4 linked regions of the Bombyx mori genome follow. The protein of the gene in region 3 interacts with the protein of the main gene of each other region in a biochemical or structural test. Links are inferred from orthologs where the notes say so. Each region holds a gene or a part of one and is shown on either strand. Other genes may lie near its edges.

Region 1 (7,838 bases), on a different chromosome or scaffold from region 3:
CAACTGCTTCAACAAACTCCGCGTTGATTGCTTGCAGCAAAGCGTCTCTTGTTTCCACTCCCATGATGACGAGGAGTTCCACCATCTCTAAGTTCTCCCCGTCAATTGACAAGGTCAAAGCCCCGCGACCGAGAGAGTCTACGCAATTGATGTCGATGTGTTTTTTGCGGTGGCCTTTTTGGAGTAATCTGTGTAAAACAAAATCATTTTAAAGCAATCAAAATACATAATTATATAAAAAATATATTATAATAGTTTGAAATTTATATGCATAATATAATATGTACAATAGAAATATAATATGTAAATTAGACGATATCAACATAAAATCAAAAGGCCAGCTACACGGATAATTTTTTATTCTCCTACCTACGCCGAAAGTTCGGTTTTCCTCCTGCTGTACAGGAAAGAAAGTGTTACTTTTTCTTCCTGGGTACAAGTGCGCATGCGCGTTAGTGTCTACGTCTGCTCTCACGCATCTAAAATTCTCCTCCATTGTTGTGCTCGGGTAATTTGCAATATTGTGTTTAGTATAAAAGTGAAATAAACAAAAGGCAATAAAATTTAATAGTGAAGTATTAAACAAAGATGAGTTCATCGACAGTTCTTATTTAATTATTAGTAGTTAATTTAAAAATTAAAAAACAGTTAAATTGTTTTTTTATGAGTCGGGGGGCTCCGCCCCCCCTACCCCTGCCAGGGCTTCGCCCCTGGACCCCGGCTCAGTACTCCACGAACTTTCGGCCTGATAGGAGAAAAAATAGTATGTGCACCAAGGGAGAAAAGTTGGACATTTCCTACCGCGTGTAAAACTACGACCCGAGCCGAAGGCGAAGGTGACAAACGTGTGTTCATTTTAGGATTCACAGTTAAAAATATAGGCGTTAAAGAAAATACCATTAAAACTTAAGGCCAAAGACGTTTTCTCGAAATATTTTCGTACAAGGTCGATTTAATTAAAAAGAGATCGACGGTAATACACGATTGTTTATTTTTGTCTTTTGAAAGTAATTGAATGACGGTTTCAATCGGCAACGTAAGATTTTTTTAGAAAATTGCTTTTCTTTTCTGTTTTTTGTTTGTCCAAGGATTTACTGGCCAATAATAGGGTAGTAGGGTATCTCCTCACGTATACTGTAGAAGCTGAATGAAATCAAACTTATGAACATTTCGTAATATCTTAAGTTAAAATTGTTAGTAGTTAAATTAGTTAATCGATTTTTTTTTAAATGGCGACAAAAATGTCAGTGTCATACTTTAATTACTATGTTATTCAAGTCCAATGAGTTTCGCGCTAGATCTTCTCAGTGGGTCGCGATTCCGTTTCGGTGGTATATTCTGCGACGCACTGCTCTTGATAGGAGTAGTGTTACAAATTCTTTCAGTTTGAGCCTGTGAGCTCATCTACTCGTTCGTGAGTAGCTGGAATAGCCCCTTAAGTTACCAGCGAACAGATAGGAAAAAAAAACAATTTTCAAAAGTCGACTTAAAGTGACGACTTGTGTCTTGGTCGTGACTACGTCAACTGTTATATATTCAAAACGTCAGAAATAATTAAATGACAAAAAAAAACGAGATTAAACCAACGAAATTAAAATAGTTTTACGTAAGTGTAAATGTAAACGAAAGTGTGTTTTACTGGTGGTAGGACCTCTTGTGAGTCCACGCGGGTGGGTACCACCACCCCGCCTATTTCTGCCGTGAAGCAGTAATGCGTTTCGGTTTGAAGGGTGGGGCAGCCGTTGTGACTATACTGAGACCTTAGAACTATATCTCAAGGTGTGTGGCGCATTTACGTTGTAGATGTCTATGGGCTCCAGTAACCACTTAACACCAGGTGGGCTGTGAGCTCGTCCACACATCTAAGCATTAAAAACAAAGTGTGTTTATTTGTTGTTATCTTATACCTTTATTTTATACATTTAAACGAGCAATTTGTATATAATCTGAATCTCGGAAACGGCTCCAACGATTTTCATAAAATTTAGTATACAGGGGATTTCGGGGGCGATAAATCGATCTAGCTACGATTTATTTTCAGAAAATGTTGTTTTATTCGTGTTTTCAATAATCAACTCTTCCCGACATCTATTGGTGAATAATAATACTATTTTTCTTAATTGAGGGCAACTAACCGCTTTAAAGACACAACAGGATGGCGTTATCAAAAAAATCATCTAGTTTCGCAATGAACGAAGCAAGAGATTGATATGATTTCTAAAAGTAATAGCTATAAGTCACGTCAGTGACATAGGCTATTTTTATCCCGAAAAAACATCTAACTCCTACGGGAAACTACACTGACATTTCCCTTGACCACGCGAACGAAGCCGCGGGTAGCAGCCAGTTAAATTATATAGTTTCTAGGTACACGTTGTTGTTGAATCTTGGCTTTTAACATAACTACTAACTTGGACTAATTTTATTACATTTGATTCAAACAATTGGATTAAAATAATCCGTAAAGCTTATTACTAGAAACAATTTACGTTAGCATTAATGTTCAAATAAAACGAATTTTTAATGCATTTGTTTTCTAACTTCTCGTATTAGAAGTATTATTCGTTAATTGAAACAAATATTTAAAGTCTAAGTCGCATAAAGTAATCAAAATCGTAAATGTCTCTCCATTACTACTGATTGAATGAACTGAACAAGTGATATATTGCGATGCGGATATTGTCTGAATAAGGTGACTGAGGTCTTGAAAGATCGCCAAGAAAATGACCACACGTACCTACGTATTTATCAAGAACTACCTTTCCCGAAGATACGTTCCCGTGATTTGTGATTTATGTCGCACGGGTGAGATTCATATTGAACAAGAGTATCATAGGTAGCCTAAATATTGTTTCCCAGCATTAAAGCTGTTTTCCACACGGAGTTTCATGAAGATCACTTCAACGGTTTGGGAGTGAAAATGTAAAAGACAGGGCTATCTATATAATGTTAATATAGAATTTTGGGTTGTCAGAGACAAACAGCGATGGGAGTTTATTTATAGTGGTTCATTTTCTATTTCCAAGAGATTCGTTTCTTTGGGATTCTGATAAATAGTTAGCACCACATTCAGAGCTGTCACCGTTGAGACGTAGAAAAAAATTTTAAACTAAAAATATTGATTTGACCTAACCTTCTCACATTTGCCATATCTCCTCTCTCGACTGCCAGCAAATACTTCTTTTCTTCCAAAGTAAGTGGTTTTGGGAGCACCGGTAACGGCATTGGTTTCCGGACGCATTCCAATTCAGGGTCGCCCTATCACATATTTCATATTAAAAGCATATTAAGGCGCGTCTAGTTTATTACGGATTATTATAATCCACAACCCTAGTGATTTGAAGTAGAATGTTCTATAAAACTACGACCTCATGAAGTTTTTGGTTGACAATAATTTTTACAAGCCGAAGTCTATTGTTAACCAAAATAGTTACAATAAAAGGAAGGAAAATCGAACTTCATCATTCATCATCATTATCCTGCCCTTCTCCCAGTCACCTGGGGTCGGCGCAACATGTTTTTTCCTTCCATACTCTTCTATCATATATCATTTCTTCGTTCACTCCCCTCTTACCCATATCATCTTTCACACAATCTATCAATTTCTTCTTAGGTCTACCTCTTCCTCTATATCCTTCCACATTCATAGTTAATACTCTCTTACCAACCTCATTTTCATTTTGTCTCATCACATGTCCATATCATCCCAAACGCGTACTCCTCAGCTTCTCTGTCACAGGTGCCACTTTCAGACTTCCTCTAACATATTCTGTAATCAATTAAACTGTGTAAAATTTCCGGAACTTGTTCGTAGCACATTCTAGATGAATATCTTGTTAGAAGAATTGGTATCCACACAAACATCGCTCGATACGAGTAAGTCGGGTGTTGTATTGGTTTAAAAAGATATTTGTTTTATTACTTACGGCTTCCAAATCCTTCTTCTCGGCCATTTTGATGGTTTACTTCGAGTGGTCGCCGAAGCAGCGTCCGTCCCCCAGGCGATCTGTCATGTATTTAAGTAATGTTAAATACTATCTCCCTTCTTTTTTATTAATTATTATATTATATTAATATAATATATTACTAGCAGCTACCTTGGACAAAGAATTAGTCTAGCTATTCAAAAGGGCAACGCTGTCAGTATCTTCGGAATCTTGCCTAAAGGGAGAGTCCCTTTAGTAATATATTAAATTATTATTATTATTGTTATTTTGTAAGGTTTTTAGTTTTAAGTTTAGAGTTGATTGCATATTTTTTTATATTTATTACATTGTATAATTCTTACATGAAATTGTAGAAGCGCGAATGTTGCGCGATTTACGTATCGATTACCTAGTCTTGCTATAAATACTGAGACAAAGGAAAAAAAAATCTATTGCAAAAACATTTATTACTTTTACAGTGTGTTCGTTTAATACATAAATATAAAACAATTTAAAGTATAAAAAGCTTATTCGAAGTGGTCTCCATTGGCTGCAATACAGTCCTTTAAACGTTGAGGCCAGTTATCAATAGAAGCACGCACTCTTTCCATGGGAAAATTTTTCACTGCCAATCGTACGGATTGTTTTAGGGACTCCAAATTATTATGGCGTTTAGAGCAAGCCGTACTCTCTAAAATTGATCATAAATCATAATCCAGCGGATTAAGATCGGGACTAGACGACGGCCAGTCTTCAGCTCTGATGAAGTCCGAAACGTTCGTTTCCAACCAAGACTGTGTAGACCGATCTTTATGAGCTGGCGCCGCGTCTTGCTGGTAGTTGTTTCGTTTTTACCACCCTATTCTCTTTTAAATTATCAGTTAAGAAATGACCAGTACGTCTTTTATAGGCTGCAAGTCCTAAGTCATCTTTTAAAACACGCGACATGGTTCTAGAACGCACCTAGGTGCTATCTTCATCTCCCGAGATAAAATCTTTTGCTTTCGGACAGGATTTCTTCGAATTCTTTCCCTTACTGTTTGACCACCTTTTTCGTACGAACAATACGTGGACGGCAAGATTTTTTTCTGTCACAAACAGAGGAGGTCTTATTGCACCTATTAATAGCCCGGTACACAAACATTTTACTAATACCAAGCGTATGGAGAGTTTTAAAAATTGCATTTGGCTCCATACCTACTTTGTGTAATGCAATCACAGCGATTCGGTTCTCCTTATCACCCCACTCCATTTTAATATGGCAAAATATTGTGCAATGTATTGGCGCCAAAATGAGAAAACTCAATAAGCAATCATATAAAAATGACAGATTCCAAATTCAAATGTAACATTTTGTTTATTTTTAATTGTAACAGTATTTATGGCCAGACTAAGTATAGCTAGCTATACATATATTATTATTAGACTACTAGCTATTATTATTATATATTATTATATAATGTTAAATGTTAAGGGTAGGGTCAACGGAAAAAGATCTCGTGATTAAGCCCTGGCCTAATGCACTGGACTTATCAAGTGAAAATCCTTACCAAAACCTTACATAATGAGTGCGTGCCTCAAGCCTCAGTTCGCGAACTATGAAGAACAACTTTCAAGGCTTTAATAAACAAGGATTCCACATGACTATGACTGCTCTGCCAAGAGTACAGACTATGATGATGATGAATTACTGTTAAAGTTTCACACTGTTGGACAAAGGTCTATTGGTTTTCTAGAGGGAAGTGAAGGAAGAGGCATGTCTTATTTTTATTTCGTGGTCAACCAGCTCACGGCCGACAGGTGTTAAATGGTTAAATACCACACCGTGAATTTCACACCTCATTACGAGACATGAGGTTGATTTGCATAATAGCTGTCCCAGCCTTCAAACCCAAATGACTAATTCGCGGCAGAAAAAGATATGATTGTAGTACCTACTCATTTTCACATTTACTTAACTTGAAGTGTATTTTTCGAATTCCCGATGCGTCCAATTATTTTTATCCTTCAGATACAACAGCCCTAGAAAGCTTACTTACTCATATTTAATTACAGAATAACCCTGATAAGGCATATAAAATCGTGATAATTACCTAATTGTTCATTCTGACTTGGAATTTAAAACAATTTTGCTAGAAACCTACACAGGGAGGCCGTTCGTAAACTGAAGCCTCGCAAAGGCAATAATCCTTTATGACATGCCGATTACCTCACAGTCGTCAGCTTGTAATTTGATTAGGTTATCGAAACTGGAGGTACTAGATGTCTTTGCCCCAGTAATACCCAGTCGTCCTACTTACCTAGCAAACTTTTGCTCAGTGGTCGTTGACGAGAACCAACTTTCATAGGCTTCAAGAAGAAGAGAAACGCGATTACGATAAAAAGCTGATATAAGGAAAGCCTCCGATTTCCCAATTTTTCATTTTTTTTCCAAACATGGAATTTTAACGTTGTTGAAAAGTAATTGACAAGCGATTTCCCGCTAAAATATTTAAATAGCGTGGAACATTCAATGTCTCCTATGTTTTAGCAAGTAAGTTAAATTTAAAATTGAATACGGTTATTGAGTTAGCGGAGAATATCGCCGTACCGCGGAGACCGGCGTCGTTGGTCGTCGACGACCTGTCGGTCGGGCGTCCTCGGGGTGCCGCCGCAAGTCTGGTTCTAGTGTTGACCGCGGGAGCTCCTCTACTCTAACCGGGTTCTGACCCCGGACGGAGATCGGACGTCGGGTGTAAGAGTGTAGGGGAGTCGTTTAGTGCGGTAGGGCCCTAAAATTCTTTGGGCCCGCGGTCTGCTCTCGCCACCTTGCAGATCGTCAAGTTCCACAGACCCCGCGCCCCCCCTAGGCGCGGGGACCTCATATGAGGTTAGGACCCCGGCCCGAAAAAAAAAGCAGAGAATATCAACTTAACACGTAAATGCTATCACGAATAATATGCCCATGTTAATATACATAAAGAAATGAAATATTTGAAGTTCAAGGTCAAGGTCAAGAAAATTGATCTTTTATAATTGAAAATAATTCAAATAATGCCATTTTGTATTTTAACATTCTCTTTTTTTTCGCGTTTTATTTGAGTTCACGTTTTACATGAGTGTGAAGACTGACAGTGAAATGACGCCGTCCTCCTTGAGAAATAAGGAGGAAAGTTCAGATTTTCACCCAGACATATGGAGTTTTACCGAAAGAGATGCATTAAGAGAAGAATCTATTATTAATATTCTCTTAAATAAACGCCACATAACAAAGTCACTAAAGTTTTAATTCAAAACTACCTAAAATCAATATTCATTCTATGTCACCCAACATCTTGTAAGTTTTTGCGTCTCCTCTTGGCTTACAGCTTGTTATAATATTTGGATTCCGCAAGTCGTAGACATAATTAAAATTAATTTTCTGTTGAATACCGCAACCGGATATTCAATTAAATTGATTAATTATTTTTTTATCGAATATTCAAATGTCGACGATTAAATAACATCTTAGTCGTCCATGATGACGAAAAAATAAGCTATACCTACGAGTAATATTTAAAAACTAAAATAGTCGAAAAGCCGGATATAATATAATAAAAATAATAAATGCGAAATTAAACGAATAATAAGAATAATAAATATTTTAAAAAAAATGTTTTAATTATAGCATGGCTTAATATTTAAGAAAATCCAGCATAGATATTTGGTAAGCGCGGAACGTTCCGAAAAAAATCAGATTGAGAAATAATAATACATATACATAATAATATATAATATACGTGAAAAACAACAAGAATATATTATAAGAATCCGTGGGTGCCACCAATGTTTCTGGCACAAGGTGATCGGTGGTATTCTTATTGTAGTGTATACGGAATACTAATCGCTAAACATCAGATAGGCTGGTAGTCTACACCCATTAAAAACAACTAC
Region 2 (8,631 bases), on a different chromosome or scaffold from region 3:
CGTAAGATTGCCTGTTTTCGTTAATTTATTTCTAAATAACTGTTGCACTGTTATATTGACTGATGCCCTCATTGTTTCTATCATTTCAGGAGGAAGGAAGTCTTTGTTCTTTTCTGCCATTTCTCTTGCATCGTAGCTCACTTTGCCTGTATAGTGAGCTACACTGAATTCATGACTGCCGGATAATTTGATGTACGGTCCTTTACACGTTGTCCTTATTGTACCTAGAGCGATACGTGAAAGCAAAGTTTGGTATAGTTTTCAACTTACGTATAATAACAGCATTAATGGGATTTTTACTTACTCATGATGAATTCCTGTCCACTACTAGTTCTACTCGCTTCGTCCAATACATAAAACAAGCCTAAAGGTCTGCCCATGAGTTGATCCACAGAATTTTTGTTGTCATAAAATCTTAGTTCTGGCATTGCGATACCTTCTTCTGTGGCTTCTTGCATTTCCCAAGCGAAAATTCTTTGGTTATAAAGGAACTGTATTTGTTCATTTGTTGTATTTACTATCAATTGCTCTAGTCGATTTCTGTGATAGCATTCAAAACCGAACATATCCAATAAGCTGACTGAATATTTATCACCACTATAACAGAACATTGTGTTAATGTATGTTAGAAAACGTGAACTGGAAATGTTAATAAGAGATTAAGATTACTTACAAGACAGATCTCATAAAGGAGAGTTTCGAATTAATTAAATTTATCATCCAGTCAATGAGTCTTTTATATAAAGTGCCTGCTAATGTGTCCCTAGCATCTCTCGCTTCATCTGTAGTATGTTTTCTTTTTACTGCAGTCCCGCTTTCGATAAGACAGTAATTTAATAAAGCCCAAAGGAATTTTGTTTCATCCAGTGACAATAGCTTCGCTACCCTCTTAGCCTCCTCCGGATTTTCAATTTCGGTTGAACCATTCCTTCCTTCTTTGAATCTGACATTACCGAGAACTAAAATCGACGCTAAAACTGTTTCAAAAAATCCTATGTCCTCTTCTTCCCAATCGACTGCGGTGAGGTTCTCAATGATATTTTTATAATTTTGAACGTTATTTTCGACACTTTCTCTAACGCCTTTTAATTCTTTTTCAGGTTCATCTGATATCCGTAAGTATCTATGTTTTCTGTTTTTGTCTAAACAGAGTTCATCTAATCGATTTCCCGCTTCCATCGCATCGTAGAAATAATAAATTAAGTCGAAGTTAGCGTGGGTCCTGGAACGTTAAAAAATTGTGAGTTTAAATCACAAAATTTACCAATCTACTTACCGACCGTAACCTACATGTCTGTTGATGAGATTCGCCACTTTTCTAATTGATACAACCAAAAGATAGCGCCGCTCAGTTTTCCCGAGCTTCCGTATGTCACTTGAACTTGAAAAATACCCCTGGTGCAATGTGCATTTATGGGTGTAGCGGCAGAAATAGCTGCTTGGATAATACTAGTTGCTTTACGAATTCTATCTGCTGTGTTATTCTTCATCGCTCCTAAATGAGTCAAATGTGACAGAGCGTGTAACATGTTCGTAGTTTTGCCGGATTTGCTTTCTCCAGAGAACACGATGTGCTGTGGTTCGTTATGATGAAGTGCGTCTTGGTAAGCGCCATCGGCTACCGCGAATATGTGCGGCTCATTATCTGATCTTGATTTGCACTCATACTTCTTGTGATGCTGTAGAAAACAAAATGGGAATTTCAAATGTGATTTTTATGTAGATGTGAATTTCAACATCAACTAAGTAACGTAATTTTGAAGTCTTTATTTGATATCGGAAAGGAGTTCTTACGTTTTCGTTATAAATATCATCATCGGTGTTGGGGTTGAGAATAAGTAGAATGTCACCGACGAAAGACATAAATGAACCTTTCATCAATTTTATTTGCAACTCATTGAGTAAGTTTTCCTCAGTCAATATTTCTAGAGCGGCAAGATCCTCAACTTGCATCGTTTCGGCTTCAGGGTTCCCTTCAGTTGTCAATAAGCCATCTCTTATTATCCGTTCTGGTGTTTTATCTGGCGATACCTTGCCACTTAGTTCTTTCGCGAGTATCTTCAATTCTGTTGAGAGCTGTGAGAAAGATTGTCTTAAATAATTTCTATTTCCAGTACCTTAAAAGCCAAACTGAGGTCATTGACTCACGTGATAATCGTTCTCAGGAACGGACAGAATAAACGGATGCTCTTCCAGTTCCATTATGAAAGGTCGATGTTCCGGATTTTTTTCGAGACACCTTAAAACAGTTGCTTACATTGTGGTCACTCTAAATTTCGCGTATCGCCGCAAACTTAACAAATCAAGGAATCAAATTAGTTAGCAGCTACTTACTCAGAAATGAAATCGTTGATATCGTTCGACCACATTGAAGGCTTCGAAATGGTCGGCGGAGGGCATCTTACTATTTGAAACAATGCGCGTGTCGGATGCATGTCCTGGTAAGGGGCTTTTCCGTCTGCCATCTCTATAGTAGTTATGCCCAAGGCCCAAACGTCGACCCTGTTGCCGTAACCGTCGTCTCCGCCAGTCACCACTTCGGGCGCCATCCAACTCGGAGAACCAACATTCGTTTTACTCTTATCAAGTGTTCCGCTTAATTTACACGACAGTCCAAAATCAGACAGTTTAACTTCACCGTCTTTTGTGATTAAAATATTGCTACACCTTATGTTCCGATGCATCACTTTGTTCTCGTGCAGATAAACGAGGGCCTAGAGATCGATACAAAGATTGATTAAGACAATCGGAGAAGTCGACACCCGTCGGACATTGAAGTGATTGACCGACCGCCCCCCATACCCTGGCCGAGACAGGTTGGCGATACTAATGTCAGCGTCAGTCAAGTGGTGAACGCCCCTCGTATTCATTGAGCTTATTTGCATATGTATCGCTCCAGAGCGCTGTCAGTGGCGGCATGTCGGAGCCCTCAAGTCTGATGTATCAGTTTTCTTAATGCGTTCATTACGATTATTTACCTCTCGGTGTTCTCAGGGAGGTGGTCGCTCGTCTTTTTCTCAACATTAAATTCTACTATGTGGTCTAATTGTAGACGATACGCCGATATCTTGTCACTTGTTTAGAGTACCCGTAAGTACTGTGATGAATCAATTACCCAACAGAAACGTGAGTGAATGTGATAAATGTTACGAATCGAGAAAACTACTTAAAATACGAATTAGTATCAGAATTGTAAACGAGTCATTAATCATTATTTAGAAAAAAATCGGATACCCAGTTTGAAACGAAAAAATATCAAAGTAATTAATGCATTTTCAAAAAGCTTCCACTTTTGTTACCTAAAAATCAAGAACTCACGAGAGATGTAACGTGCCTAGATATACGACAAGGATCTTTCGAACGAAACCGAGCATCAGTATTGCAGGCCAAGTGGCTTGCATAAAGATAATGCGCGTTTAACGGTATCCAAAAACATTAGAGCCAGAGACGTCGGTAACAACAAACCTTTACGCCTTGTGCATAGGGAAGGAAATCCACAAGCAGATAGTAGTTAAAGAGATCATCGGCTACTGCGATAGAGGTCCGTATATCTTGTGTGTGCGAGCATTATTTACGATAATTGAGCGATGCGCCGCGATGGGGGGCCATCACGGTGTTGTCGGGCGTTCTCCGACATTCGCATCGACAACTTCGACTGTTCCGTCGCCAATCACATCAAATAAAGCGGCATGCATTTTAAATAATGGCTGTAGATTGTATTTCAATGTACGCGGATGATCGGAGGGCAATATTTTACTTGACGTCACGAGGCCAACATAAACCTTCGGGACACAAATCCGAGAACAATTGAGTTTGCATTCAAAGTACCCCCAATTGATTCAACGGTTGAAAGCTGGACTGGCAGGCCCTTTGTTTTGTAAACAGCCATCTCGAGTAGAATGTGACGAGGGACATGTTTATAGTCATTCATATATGGTCTTACCTTTATTGTATATTTTAAGATGTAAGCTATGTGTTCTTCGGACATTTTTCTTTCTGCCGTATTCAGCTTTCTGACAATATCGATGACCGATCCGTTTTCGCACAGCTTAAAAGACAAGATAAAGTCGATTAATTCTTTATATAACTTGTTATCTAAAATTTTATTCTGATTATTATTCAAAGTAATGTGACTTGTTGTTTAATATTAAATATGTAAAACTCACTTCAAGAACAAACCATATTTTGTTTATATTATCGACTCTCTCGCAGAACACTCCGTAAAAGTCGATAAGATTAAGATGAGTAGTGAAATCTCGAAGTATTTTGTATTCCTTTTGAATGTGTGCCTCATTTTTATCGGTATATTTTTGTATTTTAACAGCAACGGATTTTCCAGCCGCCTGTGTATCGGTAGCCTTGTAAACTACCCCAAATATGCCAGAACCTAGTTTAGTGTCTAGTTTGTAACGTTCCAAAGGATTTTGCAAGGACGATAAGTTGAGACCGTCTTTCATTTTGGATGGCGCATGAAGATACCTTTGCAGAATATCTCTGAAAATGGTGCTAAAAATTAAAAACAAGTCCTCGAAGGTAACGTCAATATAAAAATCTAAATAAATCTAAGATACAACGGATTATTTATTGTTAGCAGAATAAGATCATAAACATCTTGAATTTGTTGTTGAAATTTGAACTTTTATCAAAATAGTAGCTTAATCAATTTAAAACAATTGGACCGCTACCTACATTAATGTTCTAGTTATTTTTGTATGTGTCCACACTAACCTGTAAAGGTAATGCGAGTATAAAGAGTTAAAATTTCTTTGGATCAATGTTTGAGGTTCTGAATTTTTAACCCGATTTAAAAAAAAGCTTTATAGAGTTTTTAATTTATTTCCACAAACAAACTAGTTACCCTTGCATATGACATCTCTTTCTTAATATAGAGAGTTTTCCATCTATTGTTTGTTATTCTAATGAAATTTAGATTTTAACTATGTCTCGAGGTGGTCTAGATTCCGGGAACCGTTAGATTCTCGAGCTGATGATAACAATAAAAAAATACTTACGGTTGCAGCAGACCACAGCAGACTAACACGTCTAGCCTGAACTCCTTCCACAAGAACAAGTGGGCAACCACGTTCCGAACTCGCATAAGTGCAGGGGCTTCGTAAATTAGGAACGAGCCTAATCTCATAATGTTATTAGGGCACTGTGACCTCCGTATCGTCTAATTACTCATAATTGGAGTTCCATTTCGTACTTCGTAATCCGATCTAAGCGAATTAATTGTTTTTCTATTAGATTTTAACAAAGGTTTCAATTTGATTTATTTATTTTTATTTATTTATAACTTCATATACTAGAAAGTATAAAGGCGGACTTAATGCCATAGGCATTCTCTAACAGTCTACCTTAGGGGAGTGCAGAGATGAACCTTGGTAGGTGTAGGGTGAAGGTGATATTAAACATATGTGTATATGTAACATACAAAATATTTATAGATACAAATACTCCTACTTAAATAAATATATATATATAAACAAATATTATCAATTAGATGATTATGCTAACTCTCTGAGAAACAGTTCTCGAACCTTCGTCTTAAACGCTTCACGTGTAGTGCAATTTATTCAGCAAGTTTATAAAAAAACGTACTTGAATTCTACTGAATCTGATTCCGAAAACAAAATTAAGAAAAAAACGCAACTTGTTTCTATATATATGTTTGCTCATGACGTGAAATGCCATACCAATTGAATTTGCTTACGATGCCGTGCTATCCGGGACACCCGTCATTCTAATGTAATCCATTCATCAGACCAATAACTACGCTTGAAGGCATACTTCAAATGGTTCTTTACATTTTAAGATGGATTAGATTTTTGCTTATTGTAGCCAAGCCGAATGCGTTACAAAAATTCTTAAGCCTATTTTGTACAGTTATTTATGTACAATTTCAATTTCTCTGCGTCGGTCCTAAACAACGGCGGATCCAGTGGGGGGTCATGGGGGTCATGACCCCCCCCCCTGAGCTAGTTCCACGACTTGAACTAACTTGGACTAATTGAAGAACATCATGATTTAATTATTATCTATTGTTATCAAAATTAAATTATAAGTTCTTAACATGCCCACGACTATGTGACCCCCTCCTGGCGCCAAAGCTGGATCCGCCCTTGGTCCTAAATGTCGTTTCTGCAAGACGACGATAATACAATGATCAACACGTATTCTTCCAGTTCAGGTCAGAAGTAACTATGCTCGCCTGACAGCCCCTGGTATGTCAGTCTCTGGTTTCTTTGACGTCATCAGAACACCATCATATCAACAGCCTCCAACTGTTCTCTACTTTTCCTTTTCTGCACATGCTCTAACATAATGTATCTGTCTTTGAATGATACTGTCGTGAGAAGAACACTGAATTGTCAAGTTTCATGATGGTTCTTATTGGTGGTAGGACCTCTTGTGAGTCCGCACGGGTAGGTACCACCACCCCGCCCATATCTGCCGTGAACAGTAATGCGTTTCGGTTTGAAGGGTGGGGCAACCGTTGTAACTATACTGAGGCCGTAGAACTTATATCTCAAGATGGATGGCGCATTTACGGTGTAGATGTCGATGGGCACCAGTAACCACTTAACACCAGGTGGTCTGTGAGCTCGTTCACCCATCTAAGCGATACATAAAAAAATGCAAAAATAATTAAAAATGTTTATTGAATTCAAAGATACATCATTGCGTACGAGCCGAATTAACAAAAAACTAATAAATTTAAACACATCAAAACATTACTACTGTACAAAATTAAGGTGATTGTAGCGTTATTTATTTTATGAAAAAAAACTCTTTTATTTCTCAATAAAGCATTTTAAAAGCAGAAAATATAATAAAAGGCAGCTTATGAAGTTTTTATTTTTTTTTATTGCTTAGCTGAGTGGACGAGCTCACAGCCCACCTGGTGTTAAGTGGTTACTGGAGCCCATAGACACCTACCACGTAAATGCGCCACCCACTTTGAGATGTAAGTTCTAAGGTCTCAGTATAGTTACAACGGCTACCTCACCCTTCGAACCGAAACGCATTACTGCTTCACGGCGGAAATAGGTGGGGTGGTGGTACCTACCCGTGCGGACTCCCAAGAGGTCCTACCACCAGCTTATAAATAGATGTGGTATTTTATTATTAATTCGGATTATTATTCTAACGCTCTATTGGAAAACTTACTATAACATTCATGCATTTAACAAAATAACAGTCCTCCCGAAAATAAGTTGCATTTTATTTAATTCCGAAAAATAAGTTAAGGTAGCCATAAAAGTTCTTCAAATATTGCTTGACTTATAACACGAAGCGATGAAGTAGTATACCAGAGGCACTCAACTCAATGAGTCAAATTAAGCGGAATAATAATGAAGTTGCTACCAAACATTTAGTGCGCTTCTAGACAGACGGCTTGAAGTATTTCTTTGAATAAGTGCAGTGTTTTTGTTATACGCCAGCACTCGGTAAAGTCCATACGTACTTTTAGAATTACAGAAACGCAGTTTGAAATTTTTGTATTTAAATTTTAATTAAAAATGGACCTATAACAACCTTTCTCATCGACTCATAATACCCAAATCACCACTATCAGCTTAAAAAGGGACAAAGAAAGCTATTCATCGGTCTCTTTCACTCCGTCCTCTTCCTCTACGTCTTTTGTAGGTTTGAAAATCGATGTTTTCCAAAAAACACATTTCTTGGGTTGTGTCTCTATAATTCTAAAGGTGTGACTTGTGCTGATTTAATAATATAACAAAAATCTGTTTACATTTTTAACATTTCTTTTAAAAAAACATAGAGGCTATGAGTCTTTTTTTATATTTTTTTATTGCTTAGATGGGTGGACGAGCTCACAGCCCACCTGGTGTTAAGTGGTTACTGGAGCCCATATACTGTAGAATATACATACTTAGAACATACTTAGAATGTAAATGCGCCACCCACCTTGAGATATAAGTTCTAAGGTCTCAAGTATAGTTACCTCGGCTGCCCCACCCTTCAAACCGAAACGCATTACTGCTTCACCTCAGAAATAAGCAGGGCGGTGGTACCTACCCATGCGAACTCAAAAGAGGTCCTACCACCAGTAATAGTAATAAGTCTCTTGTCGATCCTTCTCAGTATTGAAACTGCATGAATTAAAAGCCCCTATAAATAGCTTAATTGAATAAAATACTTTTGATTCATTTGATTAATTGATTTTCGTATTGAGTCGTTTGAGGATTAGGATCGATATCCCTCTTTCATATCTATACACGGCGATTCGGTCATGTGTTACTTAAATGATGCAACCGCTATAATTATTTATTTGATACTTAAGCATCATGTATCAAGGTGGGTGGAGACACTCATTTTTTTTTGTTTTTTTTTTATAGCTTAGATGGGTGGACGAGCTCAGGGCCCACCTGGTGTTAAGTGGTTACTGGAGCCCATGGACTTCTACAACGTAAATGCGCCACCCACCTTGCGATATAAGTTGTAAGGTCTCAAGTATAGTTATGTCTATCAGCTCTGGTAAGTACTTCACATCAGGCGGGCCGTAAGCATGTTCACCCATCTATAAATAAATAAATACTTAGCGCTCACTAATTGATTTAACGTCAATTTTGAAGATAGTATATTTACGGCACCCATTACGTAGCG
Region 3 (8,507 bases):
GTTTTGAAGCAAACCAGTTTTTTTTTATGGGTAAAATAAATTAAGCCGTATAACAAATTATTTTGGTTTTATTACGTAGTTATTTTAATAAAGGTTCATTGCCTTTAATTCGACGATATTTTCTTTGTCTTCCTTTCCTAAATGGTATCTACTCGTGCTTCTGTTTACAAGTCTAAGATTCCACAAAGAACCGCTATTGTCCGTAGTGTGTTGAATACTTGTGTCCTCTTCAAACATAACGTCAATATTACGAAATGTCTTTGTTCCGTCACCACTGTGCTTAAACTCATTATTGAAAATTGCTCTAATAAATAGGGAAGGGATCTGTGCTTAACCGAAATACTGAAAACAACTCAAAATAAAATCATAAAACATCTTTTTTATTTAGAATTTTTCGATGTTTCTAGCAAAAGTACAAATTTTAATGTTGAATAATGCAATTTTAATTTATAATGTAAAACATACGATAAATTAAAAATAATAAATGATTGGTGCATGTTTTTGTTCAAGATTACGTGAACACTCAGCACGTCCTGACACGTAAGATTGAAGGCTTATCTGTATTGATAGAATAACAGTACTATCCCAAACTGATAGCAATGCAAGAGTCTTATAATATTAATATAAACAAAACAAAGGATCTTTAATGAATAATCTATTTCTACCACAACCCTGTGACGTTCGTCACACATAATAAAATTAAAAGTGTAGTTTGCGCCTAAAGCAATTATTAGAACCCGAATGACACTGGCAGCCGAAACCGCACCCCACTCTCACTAATTACACTAACAAATTAATGGGATTACTCACTCAAGAACACGCCATCTAAACGTATGGCAAAACGTTTTTTTTTTAAACAACATAATTAAAATTATTATGAACCTACTTAAAACATAAAGATCGTGCATCGTTATTCGTGGCGAGTTATTTGACAGCTCCTCGTAATATTGCAAGGGCCACGCGGTGTTAGCAGCGGCCAGGCCTCATGGGCATCACAGCATACCTGCCGCCATCCACCTGTAGACGTGAAGCCTCCGTCATCAAGTATCCGTTGTATTGAATAACGGCTATCCCACACTCCCAACCGGAACACACAGTGTTTTGTGGAGGAAATGGACAGGAGGGTGGAACTAGCCCGTAGGCTCATGTTAGCTAGTAAAAATTTGTTGACGTCGACCATGAATCGAGTAAAGATATCATCGTAGTACGATAGTCGGTCAGCGGTCATGACAGTCGGATAAACACCAGCACGTACACCCCTAACAGGACGAGCGGTATAAAACCTCAGCGATCGATCAAATTAAAATTTCAACGGAATGCAATCGAACATTCCAGAATAATTCCATTTTGTTACTAATACACCAGCCGGGCCGTGAGCTCGTTCATACATCTAAACAATAAAAAATACTAGTAGAAACAAGATATACGCTTCTCTAGCATATACAATACTATATAGTTTGAACCGTATCATAGGAGTATACTAAGCCTGGAAGTGCAATAAATAGATGTACAAAATTTCAAGACCATCGATATTTTTTTTCCTACGTGTTCTAGTAGCCTCGAGGCGTTATTCTAGATTCATCCAACTAGTAGGTGAGTTCGCGGGGCTCAAGCCTGACAAGCCATCGAGTAAAAGACGCTACCTAAGGATGGAGCACAAACAACGAACATATTATTATATTATTATTTTAATATTCATTATTAATTAGATACAAATAAAAATGTAGTTGTTATGTATGTAGTACTACAATAATTAAACTATTGTATTGTATTACTGTAGTATAATTATATAATTGATAACAATAATATCATTATTGTAGTAGCATTATTTACTGTATACAAATGTGTTTTTATTATAAAGTCTTATCTAGAAAAACTATGAAAAATTTCGAATATGTTGGGTAAATTTATTTTTCATTCTGTGTTGGTATAAAAGTAAAGCATCTGATAATCCACCAGTGTGCTTAGTGCGAGCTTTTTAACTTTCTCGATAGCGTAAAAGTTAACTCAACTTTAGATGGAGTTGGAACGTATGCCGCTAGGCGCGCTATTCCAACTGCATACAAATTTGACTTAACTTTTACGCTATCGAAAACGTTAAAATACTTGCACTAAACACACAGATCGTGAGTGGTAGTCACTACTGCATTTATCGTTGCCAATATTGAAATACCAAAAATCACATTGTGAGTCCGCGCGGGTGGGTACCACCACCCTGCCTATTTCTGCCGTGAAGCAGTAATGCGTTTCGGTTTGAAGGGTGGGGCAGCCGTTGTAACTATACTTGAGACCTTAGAACTTGTATCTCAAGGTGGGTGGCGCATTTACGTTGTGGATGTCTATGGGCTCCAGTAACCACTTAACACCAGGTGGGCTGTGAGCTCGTCCACCCATCTAAGCAACAAAAAAAAAAAAAATCCAATCCTTTATTAATACATAAATATTGTATTTTAATGACAAAAACCTTACATACACGCAAAGAAACTTTAAAACAATTTACTAAAAAAAATTAATAATTAAACAAATACGAGTTAGATGATGACTTCAAGTGCGAACAAAGTATTTTAATGTTCACAATGTAAAAAGTAAATTTTAATTAAACAATGCCCACGGAGCTTGTGACAATTTAGCGGAAAACTTTCATTTTTCAATTTAGTTCTATAACTCAATCACAGATGGTAGTACTGTCATCTAAACAATGGTGATGTGTTTCTTGACTTGCATAAAATCGATACTTACAATCGACAATCGATTGTTTAATAAAATTGACAATTAATTTTTTCTCTTAAAATGAGTTAAAATTTTTAATATTATAATATTATAACTTTAAAACCATCTAATCTGAAAGGATGAAATGAACATTATTTAAATATAAGGTTTTACAGTACAGAATTCGTGATTGCCCCTTTAGCTACAAAAAATCTTTTTATGGAAATGATAAATTAAAGTTATAATCTGCATGCCTTTCATTACATTCATTTTCGTTTCTATAATATCTTCTACAATGTAATAAGAATCTCTTTGTGACTAGTACTAATCTTACGGGGTTCTTACAATGAATGCTTCATAAATATTTCCGACGTGTGTTTTTAATTACATCTCATTGCACACATTGTAAATAAAAATCCTCAAATAACAGTGTCAAGCTAGGTTTTTCTTGTATTATGTATACTGGAAATATATACACGAGACGAGAACAAATATACCTAGAGCCCCAGATGCTAAAAATATTTAAGATACTAAATCGAACCTGAAGCCTTTGTTTGATTTTTCAGGGTCAATAAACACGTAAACAATAAAGCGATCATAAACAATCTACAAGTTCATATTTTTAGTCTGCTTTTACGTATCTTTAAATAAAAGAGATTACTTTGGTAGGTACTATCATAATTCAATTGTCTATATTAATTGGTAGGAAATTATGGTAATTGTTTTTTTGTTTTTTAATTTTTTATTATTTCCGGCATTCCGATTGTGTGCGAATCATACGGAAGATGATATTGCGACAAGATAGGGCAACGTTTACTTTCAGTAGGAATGCGTGTGTGGGGGCGCGGCGTCGGGAAGCCCGTGTTATCTCGTTAGCGGCGCCTGCGGGCGGCACTGCGGCGCGGATCTGGGGCAGCGGCGCTCGGGAGCGGGCACGGGCGGGCGCCGCTCTCGCTGGCGTGGGGCTCGCGGCCGCAGTGACGCATTGCAGGTGCGCGGCGGCCAATCGGCGCGCGCCGGTTCGCGCTCTACGCCGCCGCACCCGCCCCTTATAAAACCGACTATCCTTTGCAGAGCAAATTTAATCCTGTGTTGTGCGTCCCGAAACATGGACTTGGACGTTCCGAGGATAATCATTGTGTAGACCGTTTCCGCCCTGCAGCTTGCGAAACTAACCTTCTCGTGAACGAAAGACGGATATGACAGTGCGACGAATCGAGTAGTCGATTCGGAACGATTCGCGGCCGAGCTCGATCCGAACCGCGATCCCGAGTTTCTCAGCGAGGCCACTCGCGCGAGTGAGGGCGGCAGTATCGTTTCAGCCGTCGGTCCGTGCGGTCGCTTTTGCGGCGTAGTCTGTGATTTTTTAGTGTAGCTCCAGATAATCCAAGTTAATCTACAATGGTGAGTGCTATTTCTATTGAAAGGTGTCGGGAGTGCCTTCAGAAGATCACGAGGAACAGTTTCCGGGTCGTATTTCGGAGAAGTTATGCATCGGTGTTTATAGTGATGACGGCCTCCATTATATTATTGTGATGGCCGTTTTTTTTACCGCATTGCGGATTCGAGAAGTATCAGAAGGCGTAACTGAAGCCTCACAGCGAGGCTTTCGAAATAGATAAACTTCAAAGCAGTGTTGAAAGCTTTAGATTTTGCGATATTTAAAAACGAGCCTATGCAGAAACAACGGTCGCCATAATCTAATAGGTGGTGCCGGTGAAATTACGTTCTTTAATTTGCAGTAGGCCGTTAATGTCGGTTGAAATGGCGCAGGGACGTCGTTGGAAAGAAAACAAATGGCTTTGTAGTTTGGGCATATTGTCGAAAGGCCGCGGCCGCTGTTATGAGGATCGATCGCCGGGCGCAACTGTCAAACGCTCGTTGACTCATCGTCATTATCTGATATTGTACCTACGTAAAACTCTTTTCGTTAGACCGTGTTGTTGTACATAACATATCATCTGCTGTGAAATTCCATAATGGTAACTAAACTTGTCGCTTTCATCGTCGTACGGTGCCACTTATAGTAACAATCATGTAAATAAGTTTTTGTTTATCAAACCAAAACTACAGCTGTAATTCTTTTTCTTTTTTTTTTCGAAAAAGTTTAACATGCTCTTGTTATATTTTAAAAGCTGAATTCTGGTGTCTTACACCAAAATTTCCTTTGCTTGAAGTTACAGAAATTAAGAATAAATCGACGCTTGAAAGGCAAACTTGACTAAGCGACTATAACTGCTTTGTACATAAATGATAAGCAATAACCATATTCAGTGCGCAACGAAAAATAAATTTGTAGGTCTATTAAAATCATTTCAATCATACAGCTAGATTCATTAAAATAAATTTTGTTTTCAGGTATTTCAACTTTAAATTAGTCTACTGTAAAGTTCACGCATTATCGCTTAGTCACGTTTGCCTTTCAAGCTTCGATATGAATACTTGAAATCACAAGGATCGGTGTAGTCCCTATTGCCTACAGTATTACAGTTTGTTCCTGACTAAATCCCTAGCCATTATTTTTTCTATTTTATTTCAGCGGAGAATACTCATACTCGTGTTTAAAAAAATTCATTGAAAGTTTTTTGCCAGTAAAATAATGGGGATTGGGTATGTGGGGTATAATGGTGATATTTTCCCTGCAGCCATTCAAAGTTTTTGTTATGATTTATTTATTGTTCTAAGTTCGCAGATCATGGCTATGAATGTATATAAATTCATACAGAAAGAATCTGCTTTTTAATCTTATTCTAATCTTTAACTATTTTTTTACATCCATTGTTCTAGTAATAACTGTGCTACTCAATAAAATGAAGTCATGAAATGTTAGCTTGAGTATAATAAATAATAAACTGGTGGTAAACATTGATAAATGCTAAATATGCATTCTCAACTAAGGATAAACTTGGTATAATTAAGTTAATATATTATTATAACACCTAAAGTGTAAACATATGTTTAAGTTAAATATTTTTGTATATATCTGAAATTATATTTTTTTCTAATGTGTTTGAAAATCCAAGGAGTTGAGATTAATCTGAAGCTCAATTTAATTGAGTTGGGAAAAAGAAAATATGAAAGAGTTTAGCACATTCTATCATACATTATGAGAACCATTGTTAGCACCTATTGGTATAATTAATAGAGGTCTTTCAATGTGTCGAGGCTTAGCGGAGGCATTCTCATACAACTCTCCAGTTAATATGTAGGACATTGTGGGCTGTAAGCTATGTTTCTCACTACATTAGAATATCTGATAATACAAATCATGTAAAAAGGGCAATATATGTGCAATATTCTTTTCTAAAATAGCTAAGGCCAAATTATCCATATTTAAATAAATGTTCAAGTGACATGATAGTGTAATATTTACCTACTAACTACAATTGGAACTAAAATTAAGATAATAAATTCTTGTGGCCCTGTCAAATGTAGCTTAAGCGATTCTTAGGCTAACATCATTTTGGTACCCTCCGATAGTGCTTAAAGAGACTATTCACATCTAATAAAAAAGAATCCATTAAGCATGTTTATGTATTAAAATTAATTTATTAAAAAGGGAGTGATATTTCAGCTCAAATGATTATTGTCTCTAACAAGCTGAATCTAAATAATAATTCAACATTAAAAAGTGTAGTTGTATCGGAATTGTACAAAAAATGTTAATTTATGCCTCATACATTTGTGTTCCTACGTTGAATCATAACTTAGGTATTTCATACCTATTGCCTACTGTGTAGAATACAACATAGTTATATCAAGTAATATTAGTTTTATTTTTACTGTGTCAATGTGAACAAGTTAGTGACTGTGCATCACTATATTTTTTAGATTTATTTGTTTAGTTATTCATGTTATTGATAACTAAAACATAGTTAAATTAAAAATATATTGCTCTTAGTACAGTAGTATCCCATTTAAGCGGCCGTGAATTCGAGATTGGACATACATGGAGCTTCTTGATTTTCCTGGAAAAAAACTGGCTCTTAGCAATGTGTCTATATTTGAATTTTGCTTGGCACTTGCTTTTCGCCCACAGACCATGACTTGACTAATCATCAAACTTTCGGCCCACAACAACCAAATTTTTTTATTATTATTGCTTAGATGGGTGGACGAGCTCACAGCCCACCTGGCGTTAAGTAGTTACTGGAGCCCATAGACATCCACAACGTAAATGCGCCACCCACCTTGAGATATAAGTTCTAAGGTCTCAATTATAGTTACAACGGCTGCCCCACCCTTCAAACCGAAACGCATTACTGCTTCACGGCAGAAATAGGCAGAGTGGTGGTACCCACCCGCGCGGACTCACAAGAGGTCCTACCACCAGTAATAAATAAAAATAGTAGTAAACTGTCAATACTTTGATGGTGGGGTATTTTCTAAATCCGCCTATACGCGGTTCTATCATCGTGTGCATATTTCTAATGTTAAATAATCTTGCATTGCGTTTTAAATAGTCGATATGTGTTAGTTCAAAGTAACTAGGACTTAAATCTTGTTTCATCCGTGTGTGGATTCAGTAACCGCTTAAATTCTCTCTACCCATTATGAGGGATAAAATGCAGAGGTTTCAATTGTATTGATCGATTCCAAACGAACGCATTAGTGCTTCGCTTCGTTGTTGAGATAACACTATAACTTTACATATTGGTATAGGCCTACAATACTCTCTACTTCCACTAATTACTTAGGTAAGTAAGGCTGTTCTCAGTACACCTCAAGAATGCCAGGCGCCTAGTCGAATGGCAGTTGGCCGTGAAGTACTTTAAGTGCTGTACAATACAGCCGTGCATTATTCGGATCAATTAAACATGAATCAGCGGATCTATATGTTGAATACGTTTCAAAATGATATTGTTATCAAAATAAACTTTAAAGAGACTATTCTGCCTGAGAGTATGATTATATTTTATGTACATGCAAAACATGTACAAGTGTTAGTTTATACGACAAAAGTTGTAATTTTAATGGTATGATTGAAATGTGCGGTCGTGGAACATCATAATATATATCTTACCGAGACTAATCGCATAATTATTTCAAATAATATTTTTCATAAGGCTTACTTCCATGTAGGCTCGGATCCAAATGTTTGATAACAACATTTTGTGCCAAATGAGGTTATTTTGCAATTTCAGGAATCTATTTGAATCAAACTTTATCGGAACTTGTGGATCCACGATTGTGGCTTGTGCCATCGTATTACTAATTATAGCGCGAAACGATTTAGGCTAAATTATAAATTCGGTCTAAAAAGTTTATATCAATAACAATAAACATTATCGCAAGCCATAATGATAAATGTTCCAATGCAGTATGTTATATTTATCTGTGCCGCATTGTGACGTGTCAGTTTGAGTAGGTAATTATACATAATCTCTGCCTGGTATCTTATCGGCAGAGTTTTGTTGGCACTTTGCCAGTCTGCCTGCCGGTCTTCTGTTGCGAATCCTCGTCTACTATGGTCGTCATGGCTGTACGTATAGGCTTCTGCTTGACAGTTTTTTTTAATGTCCTTTACTGTGGCGTTGAATCATGCAGTTCTTTTTTTTAATTTGATTCAATTGAGGTTTTGTGATTGAATGTTTTGTAAAGTTGTGTTTTTTTTCAGTTAGGAAGTGGCTGCCTTCAATTTGCGATAGATTTTTACTACCTATTGTTTGTTTTTTATTCGTTTTATGATAAAATATATACGCAAATTTGATTAAAAATAAATAGTGTTTTAAAACGCTCATAAATATTGCAGGCGGATCAGCTGACGGAAGAACAGATCGCCGAGTTTAAGGAGGCAT
Region 4 (8,292 bases), on a different chromosome or scaffold from region 3:
ACCAAGTTTCAAATCAACCGGATGCATGGTTCAGTAGTTATAACGGAACATCTGTAAAAACCACTTTATTTATATATTAGTATAGATAGATATAGATACATATAATATATAGAGGTGTGTAAAGCTAGCGACATTTCGCTTAATACGCGACATCAGCGTAAATTTATCTTTGCAATTAAAGGTCCGTTTTATTTGGTATTAGCATCAACAACTCGGTGTTTTTAATTGAACTTCGATTAAGCTTAACACATTCAAATATCTCTTTTGTTATGATAGTTTTTCTAAATTTTAATCTTTAAATGGTTTAAAGACTAAAATTTGCAAAAATGTCGCTTGAATCAAATAGCCTTTCACCCCTCGATATTTATCATGTTTTCGAATACCTCCCTCAGTTTTATTCTAGCTTCTATTCTAAAAACATCGAACTATTGATGGTAATCCCAACTAAAACGCACCTTTAATTACAAAGAAAAATGTCGCGTATTAAGCTAAATGTCGCTTAAACCAAATAGTCTTCAGCCCTCGATATAATAAAGAAAACACGAGATAAATTTCACCATTGTCACCCAACGAGTTAATTATCGATTCACATTACCGATCCTGCGGACCGAATTGTAAACAGTCGACGTCGCCCAAAACACGTCATTTCGGATCCTCTTGATCCAATAACGGTGCTTTTAGGTACCTCAAGCACTGAGTAAACTAACCCATAGACATAGCCCACTGAGTTTCTCGCCGGATCTTCTCAGTGGGTCGCGTTTCCGATACGATGGTAGATTCTGCAAAGCACGGCTCTTGCTAGGGTTAGTGTTATCAACGTCGTCAGGTTTGAGCCCCGTGAACTCACCTAGTTGTTAGGGTTACGCTGAAATGGCCTCTCAAGGCCAACAGATTAGGTACGAAAAAAAAAAAGGATTCACCTGTCTCTGTCTCTCTAGGCGCCGTATCTCTCGGACGAGTGCGTGGAATGCGTCATCGACGAAGTGCCTTAGCGCCGCCGAAGTCTCGTAGAACGGACACCCCAGCTGTGTGGCCAGCTCCTTGCCTTCCTCGGTCGTTACCTTAACATAAACAATTTGTTTTTTGCCCGTGCTTTTTTTAAGGGACTTTATGACCTGGTAACTAAGACCTTTAGGTCGTGTTTTATTTTAATTTATATTCTTATTTTTATGAAAAATGATAATATGGAGTGAAATTAAATGAAATGAAAATTATTAGTTTGAGCCATTAATCAATTGAAATTAAATGAAATAAGACGAGACGATATGGGATGAAATGTAATCTCAGTAAAATGGTGGTCATTTACTGAGATTTTTTCAGTGGACTTTTTGTTACGTCCAGCAGCTTTGTTTCATTTTCCCACATTCGTGCACTTTCACAGCTACTAAACAGTTAATAAACCACCGTTATTACACATTGAAACCTGAAGAAACACTAAATAGACAAAACAAAACAAATCACACAACTTCACTCCTCGCGTTCCCGCCAAAAAGTCTCTGTACGTGCTAGGTGCAATATTATTCCTAAATAATTGCCAACATTAAAATTACTTTTACGGTCTCTTTCTTACGTTTCAATACCGATATCGATAGTATATCAAGGTTTGAAAGGCAATTCAGTTTCAGCGACATTTTTTGAACTTTACAGGAGAGCCATTTAAAAAACGAAAATTTTGAAAAAAAACTAAAAAAAACAACTTCGTCAACTATCTGAATGGAGTAAACTTAACACGTTGGCTGCGGCCAGTAAAATCATAAACCTTCAATGGGGTCGTTGGCGGGTCGATGCGGCCCCAACGATATTCCCACCAGTGCCTGGTAGGTCTTTCTCAACCCACCAGCACTAAGGTAGATTAAAATGCTATAAACTTTGTGTAAACATACTGTATACAATTTGTAGTATATAGTTGTCGAATTCTAACAAAAACTTGAAATAATCGGTCCGCACTAGCTGAAAGTACCGCGGAATTCAAGATGGGCCTGTTCCGCAATGAAGGGGTTAAATAAAGTTCAATTAAAAACATCCAATTTTTTTTGCTAATACCAAATGAAACGAATCTTTAATTACTAAAATAAATGTCGCGTATTAAGCGAAAAAAAACAACGTTTTACAAAGTTTCTACGTACATAATATACGTGGGTAATACGTGGATAATACATGGATAATACGTGGATAATACGTAGATAATACGTGGATAATACGTGGACAATACGTGGATAATACATGAATAACACGTGGATAATACGTGGATAATACGTGGATAATACGTGGATAATACGCGGATAATACGTGAATAATACGTGTATAATACGTGGATATTTAATATTCACCTGTCTAAGTCTCGGAGCTAGGTCAAGTTTGTTTCCAACCAGCACGAGTGGGAGCCTCTCGGAGGGACGCGCCTGCGCCAGCAGCCTCCTGTACTCGGCGGCAGCGCGGAACGATCGCCGGTCCGTCACCGAGTAGCACAGCACAAAGCCTTCCCCGCAACGCATGTACTGCTCCCGCATCGCAGTGAACTCCACCTGGGTTTTTAATACGCTTTTATTGGCTTTTTTTTATTGCTTAGATGGGTGGACGAGCTCACAGCCCACCTGGTGTTAAGTGGTTACTGGAGCCCATGGACATCCGCAACGTAAATGCGCCACCCACCTTGAGATATAAGTTCTAAGGTCTCAGTATAGTTACAACGGCTACCCCACCCTTCAAACCGAAACGCATTACTTCTTCACGGCAGAAATAGGCAGCGCGGTGGTACCTACCCGTGCGGACTTATAAGACGTCCTGCCACCAGTAACTATGCAAATTGTAAATTTGCAGGTTTGATTTTTATTACACGATGTTATTCGTCCACTGAGGAAGTAAATTGTGAACATTTGTTAAATATGTAATATATTTCAATAGGAAAATTCGCACTTGCCTGCGGTATTCAAACACTGTTGCATTGCTAGATAGGAATGCACCATACGTCTTATGCTTTAAGCCACGCCGACTTCGAAATTTATATATTTTGATATTATTACATTATTCTATATTATAATATTCTTATGTTTAAATATCATTATTTATAGATACAAATACAGAGATACAAATGAGATATTGATATATTGTTTCAAAGCAATTCTTAGTGTCGTGGTAAAAGAAAAGTAATTAAACTATGTCATAATATGTGTTTGGTAATAGAAATTGTAATTACCTGACCAGCTGTATCCAGAATGTCCAGCAGTGCTGGTTCTCCATCAATTACTGCTTGTTGTTGATAGGAGTCCTCTGAGAATCACAGTAATATTTAAAATTATTTTAAATAACAATTTTACAGTGTTACAAAACTTTTACAGTGTAAGCCCTATACAACAACACTGAATGGACTGCAACAGTAATTTTGTGACATTTTTTACCTACTGGCATTTATATCTTGCAATATTGAGGCATCTTGGTGATAAAAGAAGTACATTCCCAATAATTTAGCTGCTTCCAAAACTTCTATAATTACTTTATTTTAATTACTAATTTTGTGGTTATTGAAAATGGGTATAATTCTATAGAGACTGTTTCATTATATGGAAGGCCAGCTTAACCAACCAAAGCCAAGTGGTTTCAACATTTTATGAATTTGTCATTAAATTGAGTGACATTACATAGAGTTTACACTGTATAGTTTTTCCAGTAGATACACAAAACATATTCAGTGACAAAAAAATTTTAGTAGCATGAGTATTATTATAAAATGTATTTATCTATTGATGTCGCTGTGCACAGTACTTTGATTCGTTTTTTTAACAGTGTATTCAACTTAAAATATTTAAGGTGCTCATTATCCTTTCTACTCCTTTTTTTTCATATAAAATTACAATTTCTATTATAGTTGTATGTATTTAATATATTATGTATGATGTCTTTGTGTGTATTATCTATATGTGTATTATTGAAACTTAAATTTAAGTACTCAAAACTACGGTCGAATGTCTTACGACAGCGTACTGTATAGAATAAAAATCATCTCAATTTCCCATAGTACACATAATTTTAGTTTGAGGCCAGATGTCTGGATGTCTCGTTCTCTATTATTATTACTATTATAACAGAGGATAATTAAATAGAGTGTCTAACATTTTCACTTTAAGTCTGAAATTAAAAAAATGAACATTTGGCATTTTTTTAAGTTTAGTACGAATTAAACTATCTCTCCCAGTGAAATTTGTTCATGTTCTCTGTTTAAAATAAGGGCAACCAAATATTACACTAGTGTTCTAGTATATTATTAAAATAGTTGAAAATCAACTTGAATGGTGAGATACTGAAGTGATTGGTGCTATGACATATGCCACATACAGAAAATGTATTGAGGTGGTATGACATAAGCTAACATGCTGTCTATTATTGCAATGAAACAATCATGCATTCCAGTTCAAATGGTAGATGGCCTCTAAATGGTGCATAAAGAATAGTCAATATAACATGGTAGCTACATTAATATGGGGCTGTATTTCATACTATGTAAACACGCATCAACTCATTGACGGCAAGGAAAAACTATTTTTTTACATAATAATTAAAGTTTTTGCTGGCCTTTATCTGGAATAAATTTTTTTAGCAATCACATTACATAGTAACCTTATATTAATAAGTATATTAACAATAGAGACTGGTGACTGTTTAATTTGCAATTTCTTAAACTGATCACTAAAGCCCTTGAATTTTTTTGTTATTTAATGGATATTGATTATTTTTGTTATTTTCGCTAATACCTATGGTTGGGTCATGGTAGTCCAAAAAACTGTGGCTGACGAACTGGAGTGTGACCGCAGACTTGCCGACCCCGCCGTCGCCCAGTACCACGATCTTGTATACGCGCAACCCTCGCGACGTGCCCGCAGCCTCGCCCGCCATACCGCCGCATGCCTGCTCCTCCGAACCGCGCCCGCCCCTACTCCCCACGCAACGCCATCGCACACCGCATAGAGCAGCCCGCGATACAACTAACGCTCTGAAGCTTAGCTATTCGACCAGCAGCCCACGGAACAAATACACTTTCATTCACCACAACGCATTTTGTTTAATTTTGTTACTAGTCATTTATCACGACAAAACCGACAGCTGATTGAAAATTGGGAGCAATTGACTTTGACAAATTTACAATTGACATTTAATTGTCATTGTTTTTTATCTCTGATTGTCATTGATTGACATGAATGATTAATGATTTTTTGTTTTTTTTCTATAGGATTTGAAAATGACGGCTTAAATATTTTCATCATATAACAATGCCGAAACTCTAAACTCTTAATGATGATACCGCAAAAGAGATACTTAATCGTAAAAAAATTAGAACAAAATGCTAGCCTACTTTTCAGTGAGATGCATACAATTTACAATTTCTGTTTAATATGTCGAATATTTTTATTTGTTATTTGGAAAGCTTTATTTAAAAGTGTACTAATGGTTTCTCATCAGCCTTTTAGGATGTATGAAAGTGTACAAAATTGGGAATATGAAACAAAAGTTCAGAGGACTTCTACTCGGTTACTTGCTAGCGTTTTGCTGAGACGTTATCATAGTTCATCTCATCGAACATATATGGTATTTTCTTATCTCAGTTTATTTAATTAGATTTAATTAATTTTATTCTTTCCCTTTTCATGCAATAGCATGCCTTTCGCTTTGAAGCCCAAGATTACACTGTATGGATGAGGTTCCCATTGTCTACTTAACAAGAGAAGAAATTGTGACTCACAGACAGAACTTTGGTGTCAAAAACAGCTGCTTACTGTTTGTAATTTATTTTTAATAATATTATTCATGTTTATTAATTTCCTACAGTACTATTCGATTCATTTACTTAAATTTTATAGGAATATCGGGCTTAGGTCAAAATATGGCACATGTACAATTCGTGGACGAGTTGGTCAGAGAATATTTATTGTTTAGAGGTTTTGCAAGTACTCTAAAAGCATTTGATAACGATTTAAAAGCTGACAAAGACAAAGGCTTTAGAGTTGACAAAATTATTGAACAAATTATGCATTTCATTAATGTTTCCGATCTCAACGGCTTAAAGGAATATTGGTCACATTTAGATTCTTTAATTTTTACGAAATTAGAAATACACGTACAACCTGGTGAGTGCCCTTTCATAAAGTTTAAGAATACTTGTAGGACACAACAAATGTACAATTTTATTTTTGTTGCTTAGACGAGTGGCCGAGCTCACAGCCCACCCGGTGTTAAGTGGTCACCGGGGCTCAGAGACATCAAACGCGTCAATGCTTCCACCCACCTTGAGACATGAGTCCTAAGTCAATTTTTAAACTACAATACAGTACAGTAATCTAATTAACTTATGCTTATTATGAAATATGTAAGACTCTTCCAGTATAGTACAAAAGTGAAAGTTATAAAATTAAATAGTTGTCTCTAGAGCAAATTTAGCATAAATATTTTCATTGCTGTACGTAATATTAAGAACACAGATAATATTGTATTTAGTTGGCCTTTATTAAAAGATAATTATAAACATAATAATTTTAGTTAGACATTGCTGTGCATTACGTTGCTAAGAAAACCTGTGCAATATTCTTCTACTATATTCTTCTTCTTTTTTTTATTACCCTCTGCTGGGGTGTAGTGCTCAAATCAAATTCTTCCATTTGCATTGGTCTTAGGCAGTCTGTTCTAGCTCTTCCCACATCATGCCCAAGATGCCCAGTTCCTGCTCTACTGAGCGATACCATATTGCATGAAAAATAAATAAATAAATAAATAACTATGCAGAGCATCTGTGCTGCCCAATTTCTTTTAGAGTAGATAATATTGGTGTCTGCAATATCATACTTTGTATAGTCTAAGATCCCAAGTAAGATCAATCAGGACCTATAGCTTGCACCAAAATGAAGTTCTATTAAATACTTATTTAGTAATTTTATTTCAGCTATTCGCAAGTTAGAATATAGTTTATATAAACTGTACTTAGTGACAGCTGCACAGAATACCAGTTTAATAAGAAATGAAAAGATAACAGATTTCTTTAATAAAATGTTGCCAGAATTACAAGGACAGAATGAATGGAAGGAGTGGTTCAGTAAGATTTCATATAATAATTATTTGATACAATAAATTATTCATTAATATATTAATAGTAATGCAGCCATATATCATCATCTGCTTAAGAGGGAAGAAGATTTCTGTATCGTAAAATAATCGTAAAGCAAGCCCGTCAGGGCCATTTTATATTTTATTGGTATCAACCAGTACAATTTGCTATTAATGATATTCGAAACTTACTTTGTTTGAAATTTTAATTTATAAAATCAATTATAATAGTAACTTAGCATATTCATCTCCCCTTACTATTATTATCGTAAAATAATATTATACTGTCGTACGTTTTTCGTGTCTCAGCAATGTCTATGTATCTGACACAATTTTTTTTTCCTTTTGGCCCTACCATGCTTTATGGTCCTCTGAGCTCAATATTAAAAATTATGCATTTATTAATTAGGAATCCTATGAATAAAGTTTTATCTCATACAAAAATATTTCTTCATATTCCAACATAAATTTCTCTGTAATTTACATCTAAAATATACAAGCATTATTTTTCAGCGTTCCCCTACATCCAGAAACCGGAAGAAAATCCCTCATTTAGTTTGTATTTCACTAGAGCATGGCAGGACAGTGTGCTGGTATCTCTTCACAATTTACTGGCAACAGTGTTCCAATGTATGCCACAACCAACACTAACAAGCTATGAAAGTGATGCAATACTTGTAAAAAAACTACAGGATAAGTTAGCTGCGGTCAGTGGAAAGGTAATTGATTAATTAAAAAGGTAATTGATGTCATTACTGAATCATCATACACTATGATCATCCTATCATAGGTATTTGTAAACCAAATTAATATAATCTTCTTTTCCTTCTTTGTCCACCTTAACCCACTAGATGGGGTCGGCACAGCGAATTTTTCTATTCCATTCTCTTCTATCAGCCATCATCTCAACACTCACTCCTCTTTCTCTCTCTCTCTCTCTTTCTCTCATATTGTCATTCACACACTCCATCCATGTCTTCTTCGGTCAACATCTTCCCTCTCTAACTTGAACTACCATTTCCGTACATCTCCTAGTCACATGCATCCTCTCTACGCATCACACGTCCATACCACGCAAACCGTAATAAACAAATTTATGCAAAGTGTAAGATTTGGCCTTAATTCAAGCAGTAAAAATTGCTATACTTGGAGAACTTTTATTTATTTATCTAAGTTGATAGGTGAATGACCTCACAGCCCACC

What was found.
Region 1: the proteins of calmodulin (region 3) and transient-receptor-potential-like protein interact in a test that uses a peptide from one of them, tested with the Drosophila melanogaster proteins (2 studies listed by BioGRID). The link is inferred for Bombyx mori from reciprocal best matches to the Drosophila melanogaster genes Cam and trpl.
Region 2: the proteins of calmodulin (region 3) and neither inactivation nor afterpotential protein C interact in a test that uses a peptide from one of them, tested with the Drosophila melanogaster proteins (2 studies listed by BioGRID, with this or other methods). The link is inferred for Bombyx mori from reciprocal best matches to the Drosophila melanogaster genes Cam and ninaC.
Region 4: the proteins of calmodulin (region 3) and GTP-binding protein Rit2 interact in a test that uses a peptide from one of them, tested with the Drosophila melanogaster proteins (2 studies listed by BioGRID, with this or other methods). The link is inferred for Bombyx mori from reciprocal best matches to the Drosophila melanogaster genes Cam and Ric.

What each region holds. Positions count from the first base shown.
Region 1 is NC_085120.1:6,388,532-6,396,369, reverse strand, and holds part of transient-receptor-potential-like protein, read right to left. Parts: intron 4,007-7,838; 5' UTR 3,954-4,006; coding exon 3,927-3,953; intron 3,259-3,926; coding exon 3,134-3,258; intron 1,507-3,133; exon of another isoform or gene 1,257-1,506; intron 189-1,256; coding exon 1-188. UniProt on the Drosophila melanogaster protein: A light-sensitive calcium channel that is required for inositide-mediated Ca(2+) entry in the retina during phospholipase C (PLC)-mediated phototransduction. Required for vision in the dark and in dim light. Binds calmodulin.
Region 2 is NC_085110.1:4,591,458-4,600,088, reverse strand, and holds the start of neither inactivation nor afterpotential protein C, read right to left. Parts: upstream 5,075-8,631; 5' UTR 5,013-5,074; intron 4,495-5,012; 5' UTR 4,458-4,494; coding exon 4,167-4,457; intron 4,049-4,166; coding exon 3,944-4,048; intron 2,715-3,943; coding exon 2,335-2,714; intron 2,240-2,334; coding exon 2,149-2,239; intron 2,077-2,148; coding exon 1,795-2,076; intron 1,680-1,794; coding exon 1,291-1,679; intron 1,223-1,290; coding exon 674-1,222; intron 598-673; coding exon 305-597; intron 225-304; coding exon 1-224. UniProt on the Drosophila melanogaster protein: Required for photoreceptor cell function. The ninaC proteins combines putative serine/threonine-protein kinase and myosin activities. Essential for the expression and stability of the rtp protein in the photoreceptors.
Region 3 is NC_085129.1:641,178-649,684, forward strand, and holds the start of calmodulin, read left to right. Parts: upstream 1-4,031; 5' UTR 4,032-4,110; coding exon 4,111-4,113; exon of another isoform or gene 4,114-4,688; coding exon of another isoform or gene 4,689-4,691; intron 4,692-7,801; exon of another isoform or gene 7,802-8,176; coding exon of another isoform or gene 8,177-8,191; intron 8,192-8,461; coding exon 8,462-8,507. UniProt on the Drosophila melanogaster protein: Calmodulin mediates the control of a large number of enzymes, ion channels and other proteins by Ca(2+). Among the enzymes to be stimulated by the calmodulin-Ca(2+) complex are a number of protein kinases and phosphatases.
Region 4 is NC_085125.1:11,327,691-11,335,982, forward strand, and holds the start of GTP-binding protein Rit2, read right to left. Parts: upstream 5,140-8,292; 5' UTR 4,891-5,139; coding exon 4,749-4,890; intron 3,271-4,748; coding exon 3,197-3,270; intron 2,526-3,196; coding exon 2,331-2,525; intron 1,062-2,330; coding exon 921-1,061; intron 1-920. Other genes in the region: WD repeat-containing protein 91, read left to right, coding at 5,876-6,119, 6,929-7,078, 7,603-7,808.